2 linked regions of the Daphnia pulex genome follow. The protein of the gene in region 2 interacts with the protein of the main gene of each other region in a biochemical or structural test. Links are inferred from orthologs where the notes say so. Each region holds a gene or a part of one and is shown on either strand. Other genes may lie near its edges.

Evidence for each region.
Region 1: the proteins of eukaryotic translation initiation factor 2 subunit 2-like (region 2) and eukaryotic translation initiation factor 2 subunit 1-like form a complex in vitro, tested with the Homo sapiens proteins (2 studies listed by BioGRID and IntAct). The link is inferred for Daphnia pulex from reciprocal best matches to the Homo sapiens genes EIF2S2 and EIF2S1.

What each region holds. Positions count from the first base shown.
Region 1 is NC_060028.1:8,094,954-8,098,667, forward strand, and holds eukaryotic translation initiation factor 2 subunit 1-like, read left to right. Parts: upstream 1-1,482; 5' UTR 1,483-1,644; intron 1,645-1,754; 5' UTR 1,755-1,770; coding exon 1,771-2,008; intron 2,009-2,071; coding exon 2,072-2,300; exon of another isoform or gene 2,301-2,386; coding exon of another isoform or gene 2,387-2,423; intron 2,424-2,467; coding exon 2,468-2,816; intron 2,817-2,878; coding exon 2,879-2,960; intron 2,961-3,025; coding exon 3,026-3,129; 3' UTR 3,130-3,214; downstream 3,215-3,714. Other genes in the region: uncharacterized protein LOC124208437, read right to left, coding at 1-142, 231-358, 425-537, 606-739, 814-960; reticulon-4-interacting protein 1 homolog, mitochondrial-like, read right to left, coding at 2,387-2,423, 3,244-3,422, 3,488-3,714. UniProt on the Homo sapiens protein: Member of the eIF2 complex that functions in the early steps of protein synthesis by forming a ternary complex with GTP and initiator tRNA. This complex binds to a 40S ribosomal subunit, followed by mRNA binding to form a 43S pre-initiation complex (43S PIC).
Region 2 is NC_060020.1:3,233,582-3,236,744, reverse strand, and holds eukaryotic translation initiation factor 2 subunit 2-like, read left to right. Parts: upstream 1-1,352; 5' UTR 1,353-1,492; coding exon 1,493-1,510; intron 1,511-1,567; coding exon 1,568-2,211; intron 2,212-2,273; coding exon 2,274-2,592; 3' UTR 2,593-2,663; downstream 2,664-3,163. Other genes in the region: cytoplasmic tRNA 2-thiolation protein 2-B-like, read right to left, coding at 1-42, 113-501, 568-773, 838-912, 974-1,041; uncharacterized protein LOC124192455, read right to left, coding at 2,830-3,163.

The DNA of each region.
Region 1 (3,714 bases), on a different chromosome or scaffold from region 2:
GAAACACTTCCGTGGGGTTCTCCATCCGCAAGTAAGAGAATCCTATTTGTCCAGTCGTTAATGGAGATTCTCTTCCTTCGGTCGCTTCGCTGATTGTTGTGATCGGCCCGTCATCAAACACCTCTTCTAGATTGAGTGTATTCTAAACAGACGTGGAGAAACACATCAGTTATCATTAGTGGCCGCGCTATTCTCTAAGTACTTTATTTTGATAATTGTGGCGATCGTACTGCTCGTTCTTCGAGGACTTCATTTGACCAAATGGCACCAATTAACAGCTTTGCGTGTACGATGTTGTAGGCAATTCCGATGACGGTGATTAAACAGAGGACGGCCGAACAAATTGCGTCACTAACACCTGGAACATTCATTCAAATTTCAATTACATAGGATCAAAGCATTCGGATATTAGTAACCACATTACAGGTCGGTCTCTCGCACGATTTGCAGCAAAGTACGAGAAGTGCGCCCACTGAGATAAGTCCCAAGATACCGAGTACGCAATAGCAAACGGCAAGGACAGCTGACGCCTTTAATCTAAATAATAAAATCACGTTACCGTTCAGAAAAACAGATGGCAGTATAGTTAATATTTTGTTATTTACAATTTGATACTTCTGTTCTTTTTAGCAGCTTTTGCAATGAATGCAGAGATCTGACAAATGCAGATGGATGGAAATAGTCCAAGACATAAAAACAATATGTAGTCTCGGCTGGGATCCATAAAACTTGCCAATATCTTCAATGACAACAACAATTTCATTTTTTAAAATTATCATTTTCCTCTTAAACTGAGTTTTGTGTGTTACTTGCCGGAATCAGAAGAACGAGCGATGGGAGAGTAATCGCACTGTTGACGGTGTACATGGATTTTAGTATTCTTCTGACTCGATTATCATTGAAGTAAACATCGGTAACTTCTCCATTATTGGTTACATCTTCTTCAGTGAACCGTATCATTTTTACGCTATAAGTAAATTACACGGTGTGCAGTGAATTTTGAAACTGGGTGATACAACAACCAAAAGAAACACACTGGAAGGTTCCACTGAATGGTGCCGACAAACGACGACGACGAATGTTCGTTTTTAATGTTTGTGTTCGTCATATTCGTGCGTATACTGTGTGCAGATAGTAACTTTTTTGAGCGTTTCTCATATAGAACGATAGGAAAGATAGATAAGAAAATAGTGCGATTGGTCAGGTCAATAGGTTTGATGCGCGATCGTTTCTATCAAACCAGCTTTCACTTCAACGTCTACTTTCTAAATGTGATACTTAAAAAAAAAAACAATTCTTATCTCAGGCCGGTCAATAAACGTTTGGTTTGGAGATGTTGTTAATGCAGAATTTGTGGTGAATATGTTCAAGCCGTAATTAAGCCATTGGATATCAATTGAAATTGGTTTCGTTAAACAAATTATGGATACATATTTATTTTTAAAACAAATCACGAAACACGGGAATGCGAATCACGTTATCGGATTGCGCACCATTTTGGCAACGCGGGACTTTCCACATGCTTTTACCGTAGTCTGCTTGTCCAGTGGATTTTCATTGCTGACGTAAGAAACGCTGCTGTCCCGGCATCACCTTATTTTTTGGATAATCCCTCACATTTATTCTTTCTTCTTAATACGTTAGGTAATTTAGGAATAGAAAAAAAATTCTAGCTTAGAGAACATAATCTTTAACGTGGAGGAAAGCTGTAATTTCGCTATCTAAAATGTCGGTATTGTTCACCATCCACCTAGGCTGCCATCGTGAAAAATGCCCTTATTTTGTCGGTACTACGGTCAAAAATATCCAGAAGTGGATGATGTAGTGATGGTGAATGTGAGATCCATTGCTGAGATGGGAGCTTATGTGCACCTACTAGAGTACAACAATATTGAGGGCATGATCTTGCTCTCTGAGTTGTCCAGGAGGCGTATCCGTTCCATTAACAAGCTCATCAGAGTTGGTAAAACAGAACCAGTTGTAGTTATCAGGGTTGACAAGGAAAAAGGTTTGTTTAATTTACTGTTTGGGTTGTTTCTTTAAATAACCAATTTTCTTCATGTCACCACAGGTTATATTGATCTGTCAAAAAGACGTGTTAGCCCTGAGGATGTAGACAAATGCTTGGAGAAGTATTCCAAGGCCAAGGCAGTAAATTCAATTTTAAGACATGTTGCTGAACTCTTGAAATATCAGACTGATGAAGAGCTTGAGGAACTCTACAGAAAAACAGCTTGGCTTTTTGAGGAGAAATCCAAAAAGCAATCTTCTTCATATGATGTCTTCAAGCAAGCTGTCAAGTAAGTTTTTTCTTTATTCAACCCCAGTTAGTTTTGTTACATTACTACATTTCACAAATTTGGCACACCTTGTTCCTGTGCAGCTTCTATGCAAATCCCTCCATACGGTTCAATGGCCGGTTCCTAAAATTTCAAGAACATAATATTAGTTTATTTTGAATATGTAGTGATCCTTCTCTTCTTGACGAATGCGGCTTGGATGACAACACAAAGGAAGTGCTACTGGGGATTATTAGGCGGAAGCTGACTCAGCAAGCTGTGAAAATCCGAGCTGACATCGAGGTGGCCTGTTATGGCTACGAAGGAATTGGTGCCGTTAAGAAAGCTTTGAAAGCTGGAATTGCCTGCTCCACTGAAGAGATTCCTATAAAAATTAACTTGATTGCTCCACCACTTTACGTCATGACTACGCAGACGCCTGAACGTCAAGACGGACTCAAAGGACTAGAATTAGCCATAGAAAAAGTGAAAGAGATAATTGTTGCACTTGGTGGCGTTTTCAACATTCAAATGGCTGTAAGTTCATCTCTCGTCTACAGATCAACAACCTAAGTATAACGCAATTTCTATTTTAACAGCCCAAAGTTGTTACTGCTATGGATGAAGCTGAATTGGCTCGCCAGATGGAGAAGGCTGAGTTGGAGAATGCTGAAATCGCAGGTAAGGATGGAGTCGGATGTATAATTACGAAAAGAATCTATATAGCTGGGCATATTTATCAACAGGTGATGACGATCAATCTGACATGGAAGCTGAGGGAGCAGGAGCCAATGACGCTGGAAGCGGAGAGGAAGGTGGCGAAGAAGGCGAAGCGGAAGAAGAAGAATAAAGATATACCGCACTCTTATTTTTTACAGACGATGGAAATTACTGCGCTTGGCGCAACTCCGCTCCGATTACACAACTTGAGTGAAGATTCTTTTGTATATTTTTTTAGCAGTACCTAAATCGTATGATGATTTTCCCGATGTGGTCACCCTGGGCGGCGTATTGTCCGGCTTGTTCAGCTTGATCAATTTCAAACACGCGCTCAATAACTGGTTGAAGATGTCCTTTGTTGACTAGATTTGAGATTTCATCCAAAATTGAGGTGGATATTACGGTCGAACCACAAATAGAACTCTAAGAACAGGTGGAAGTTAGTCATTTAATGCTTGGAAGCTTTTCAGGAGCTGGGCTGGACTAACCTTGAGAAATACGAGTTTCATTCGAAGCCACATAGAGTAGAGTGATCCGTAAAACAAGCCATATTTGTCAGACGCAGGTGGGGAGGCGACGGTTGAAACTACCAAACCTCCTTCTCGACAGAGGACACGGCACGAGTCGTGCAAAATCGAGCCAACGGTATTGAGCACAAGGTCAAACTTAGGAAGAGACGACAGCAAAGAATCAAAATCCAAATCATGGCCATTAT
Region 2 (3,163 bases):
AGGTCGTAGAAAAACAGTACCGGTACGAGAATCCGTAAATCCCTGTAGTAAAGAAAAATGTAAAGAAATTAATTTATTCGTTATAAAGTAGAAAGAATCGACGACAACTTACTATCTCATGGGCAATCTGAGCCCCCCTTCCTTGACCGATAGCAGATAGAAGTTGGCCGGCCAATCTAGTAGCATTTGGACCTAAAAATACTTTTGCGTGATTCAATCGAGTAGCTAAAAGTGTGATCAAACGCTGTTTCAAACGAATTAGTAAATCTTCCTTTGCCGTAAGACTTTTCACAGAACCAAATAGCGTCTCCAGTTGGCTTTCATAAATAGAAGATTCGATTTGGTAAGAATTCATTTCCAGCTTCAAGTCATTGAGGTCTGGTGCTAAACAGTACTCAAGGCTACAGATGTAAACATCAAAGCCATTTTTTTTAGCCTGCTCAAGAACAAAATCAGTGGTTTCTTTCCTTTCGTGTTTGGAAAGATTCAAAATTAAACCTTCTAAGAAAGGTATAGAAACTAAGAATTATTCTGATTTCTTTATACTGGCAACTGAATTTGAATTACCGTCTATGTGTACTAAAGTAGGTTTGAACACCATTTTAATTTTTTTACTTTCTGAGAGATCCAAGCCTTCTTTAATAAGCTTTACCATGGACCCACTAGATAATCCTCCAGAATATGCCAATAAAACATGTTCATTATGTTTAAGAGCATGTGCTTTCCCAATCGTGGAACGGAATTTATGGACAGCATACTTCATAAAACAATCACTGAAACAAAAAATTTTTGATGATGAATTAAGAAGATTTTTTTTTAAGTTCGTTTTAGACTCACCGACAGTATGGATCTGTTTTACGTAGAAGAACTTGAGCCTTTAGTATGTTACATCTGCGGCATATTGCATCTGTACTAAATGACAATTTTTGTTTAAATGGTAGTTTCGGGTTACAAGCAAATAACCAAATCTTACACTGATAGTTTGGGAGTTGCGACCATGGTCTCTTCGGCTAAGTTTTCTTCGTTAATAGAACACATCATGAGCTTATTATAGAGGTAAGAGGTATGCTGATATAAAATTATCAAATTACTAAAAAATTAGATTGTCAAAACGAGGCAGAGTACGCATTTACACGATTACACGATCAAAATTCCCGAATCAGGAATCACGTTGCAGTAAATAACTAAATATGTCGTCTGCTAATTAACATGCTTGCCAAACAACTGACATTAATATTTTATTTTGATAATATCTTGAAATTTATTCTCTAACTTACATAAAATAATCAAAATACGTAACATATAAATTAAACTTCCAATTCAATGAGTTCTTAATGGCATTTATGTGGTTCACATGACGTAATGGCAACAGCTTAGCTGTGTGTAAAACAGCATTCAGGTCTGCCATTGCATCAGCTGGTATTCCGGCTAGACACGTTTACACCGTTATATTTGTTAATAACTTGTGCTACAAAATTAGTATTGTTTAATCATGGCAGAAGAAGAAGCAGTAAGTTATTGTTTAGAGTGTTTACCATGTCAAATTATATAAATTGTTTTTTTTTAGATTTTTGATCCATCTTTGAAGAAGAAAAAGAAGAAGGCCAAGAAGACCCCTTTCGATTTTGACGCAGCTTTAGCTGGTGGAACAGTTGGCAATGAGCCGGTTGAGTTAGAAGTAGGAAAGGAAAACGAAAATCCTGAAGAGGAAGAAGTAAAAGAAGTAGATGACTTAGATCTTGAAAGCTTTGGCAAAAAGAAGAAAAAATCTAAAAAGAAGGCTTTCCAACTTGAAGATACTGAAGTAGCCTCACCTGAAGTTGAAGGACAAGAAGGAGAAGCAGTTGAAGATCAAGAGGATTTAGATCTTGACTTTTCTAAAAGCTTGAAAAAGAAGAAGAAGAAGAAAAATACTGGAGCAGTTGAAGAAGAGAAAGACGAGAAAGGTAATAAAGAAATACATTATGGTTTGAATTCAAAAGTCAACATTTTTTACATTTGTTTTACAGAGGAAAATGCTGGAGTTGCCTGGACCACTGATGGAGATTACACTTATGATGAGCTTCTTAATCGAGTATTTAATATCATGAGAGAGAAGAATCCTGAAATGGTAGCTGGAGAAAAGAAAAAGTTTACAATGAGGCCTCCCCAGGTTGTGCGAATTGGAACCAAGAAAACGTCATTCGCGAACTTTTCTGAAATATGTAAAACGTAAGTTATATTTGTTACTCTTTTGACTACTTCTCTTACGACAGAATTATTTTGCTTCTCAGGTTACATCGACAACCTAAACACGTATTGGCATTTCTTCTGGCTGAGTTAGGTACCAGTGGGTCTGTTGATGGTAACAATCAACTCATCATCAAAGGTCGTTTCCAACAGAAACAGATGGAAAACGTATTACGTCGTTACGTTAAAGAATACGTCACTTGTCATACGTGTCGATCACCTGATACAATTCTTCAGAAAGATACTCGACTTTTCTTCCTCCAATGTGAAACATGCGGTTCAAGATGTTCTGTAGCCTCCATCAAATCTGGTTTCCAGGCCGTTACCGGAAAACGCGCGGCCATTCGAGCCAAAACGGCGTAAATTACTTCGTACAGAAAAAAATATGTGCTGTCTTTTGTCATTAATGAGAGAAATACATTTTCTTTCCTTTACCATTTTTTTCCAAGCAAAATTTCCATAATTTTAGGATAAGCACAATTGTTTTACGCCACAATTTTGTGTTTAATTACTTTCAATAATCTTAGTTACAACGAATTCTAGTGTGTTACAATTTTATATTTTATGAACAAATTTTTACTTCCACTCAAACTCCATGGTCTAAGGACATTCGACGGGAACTTCGTTCTGTTGCTCCGAAGTAACATCTTCGCCATTGCTAGCTTCGGTATCTATTATTTCGTAAGGATCACTGTCGCTTGTTGAATTTGATGCTTGTTTCAGAGGAGAGTCGCAATCACGCTGTATCAAAGAAATATGGTCTAGTTGCGATTCACGGTTGTCCTTAGTGGTTTCCAGTTGAACTGGAGAAAACCAATTTCCAATTATAGGAACCATCGAGAGTGTCAGCGTAGGAGGTTGTTCAGTGGCCTCAGAGCTCAGCAATCCTCCTCCATTCAGTTTCGACTGGCCTTTATAATGAGGAATATACAAG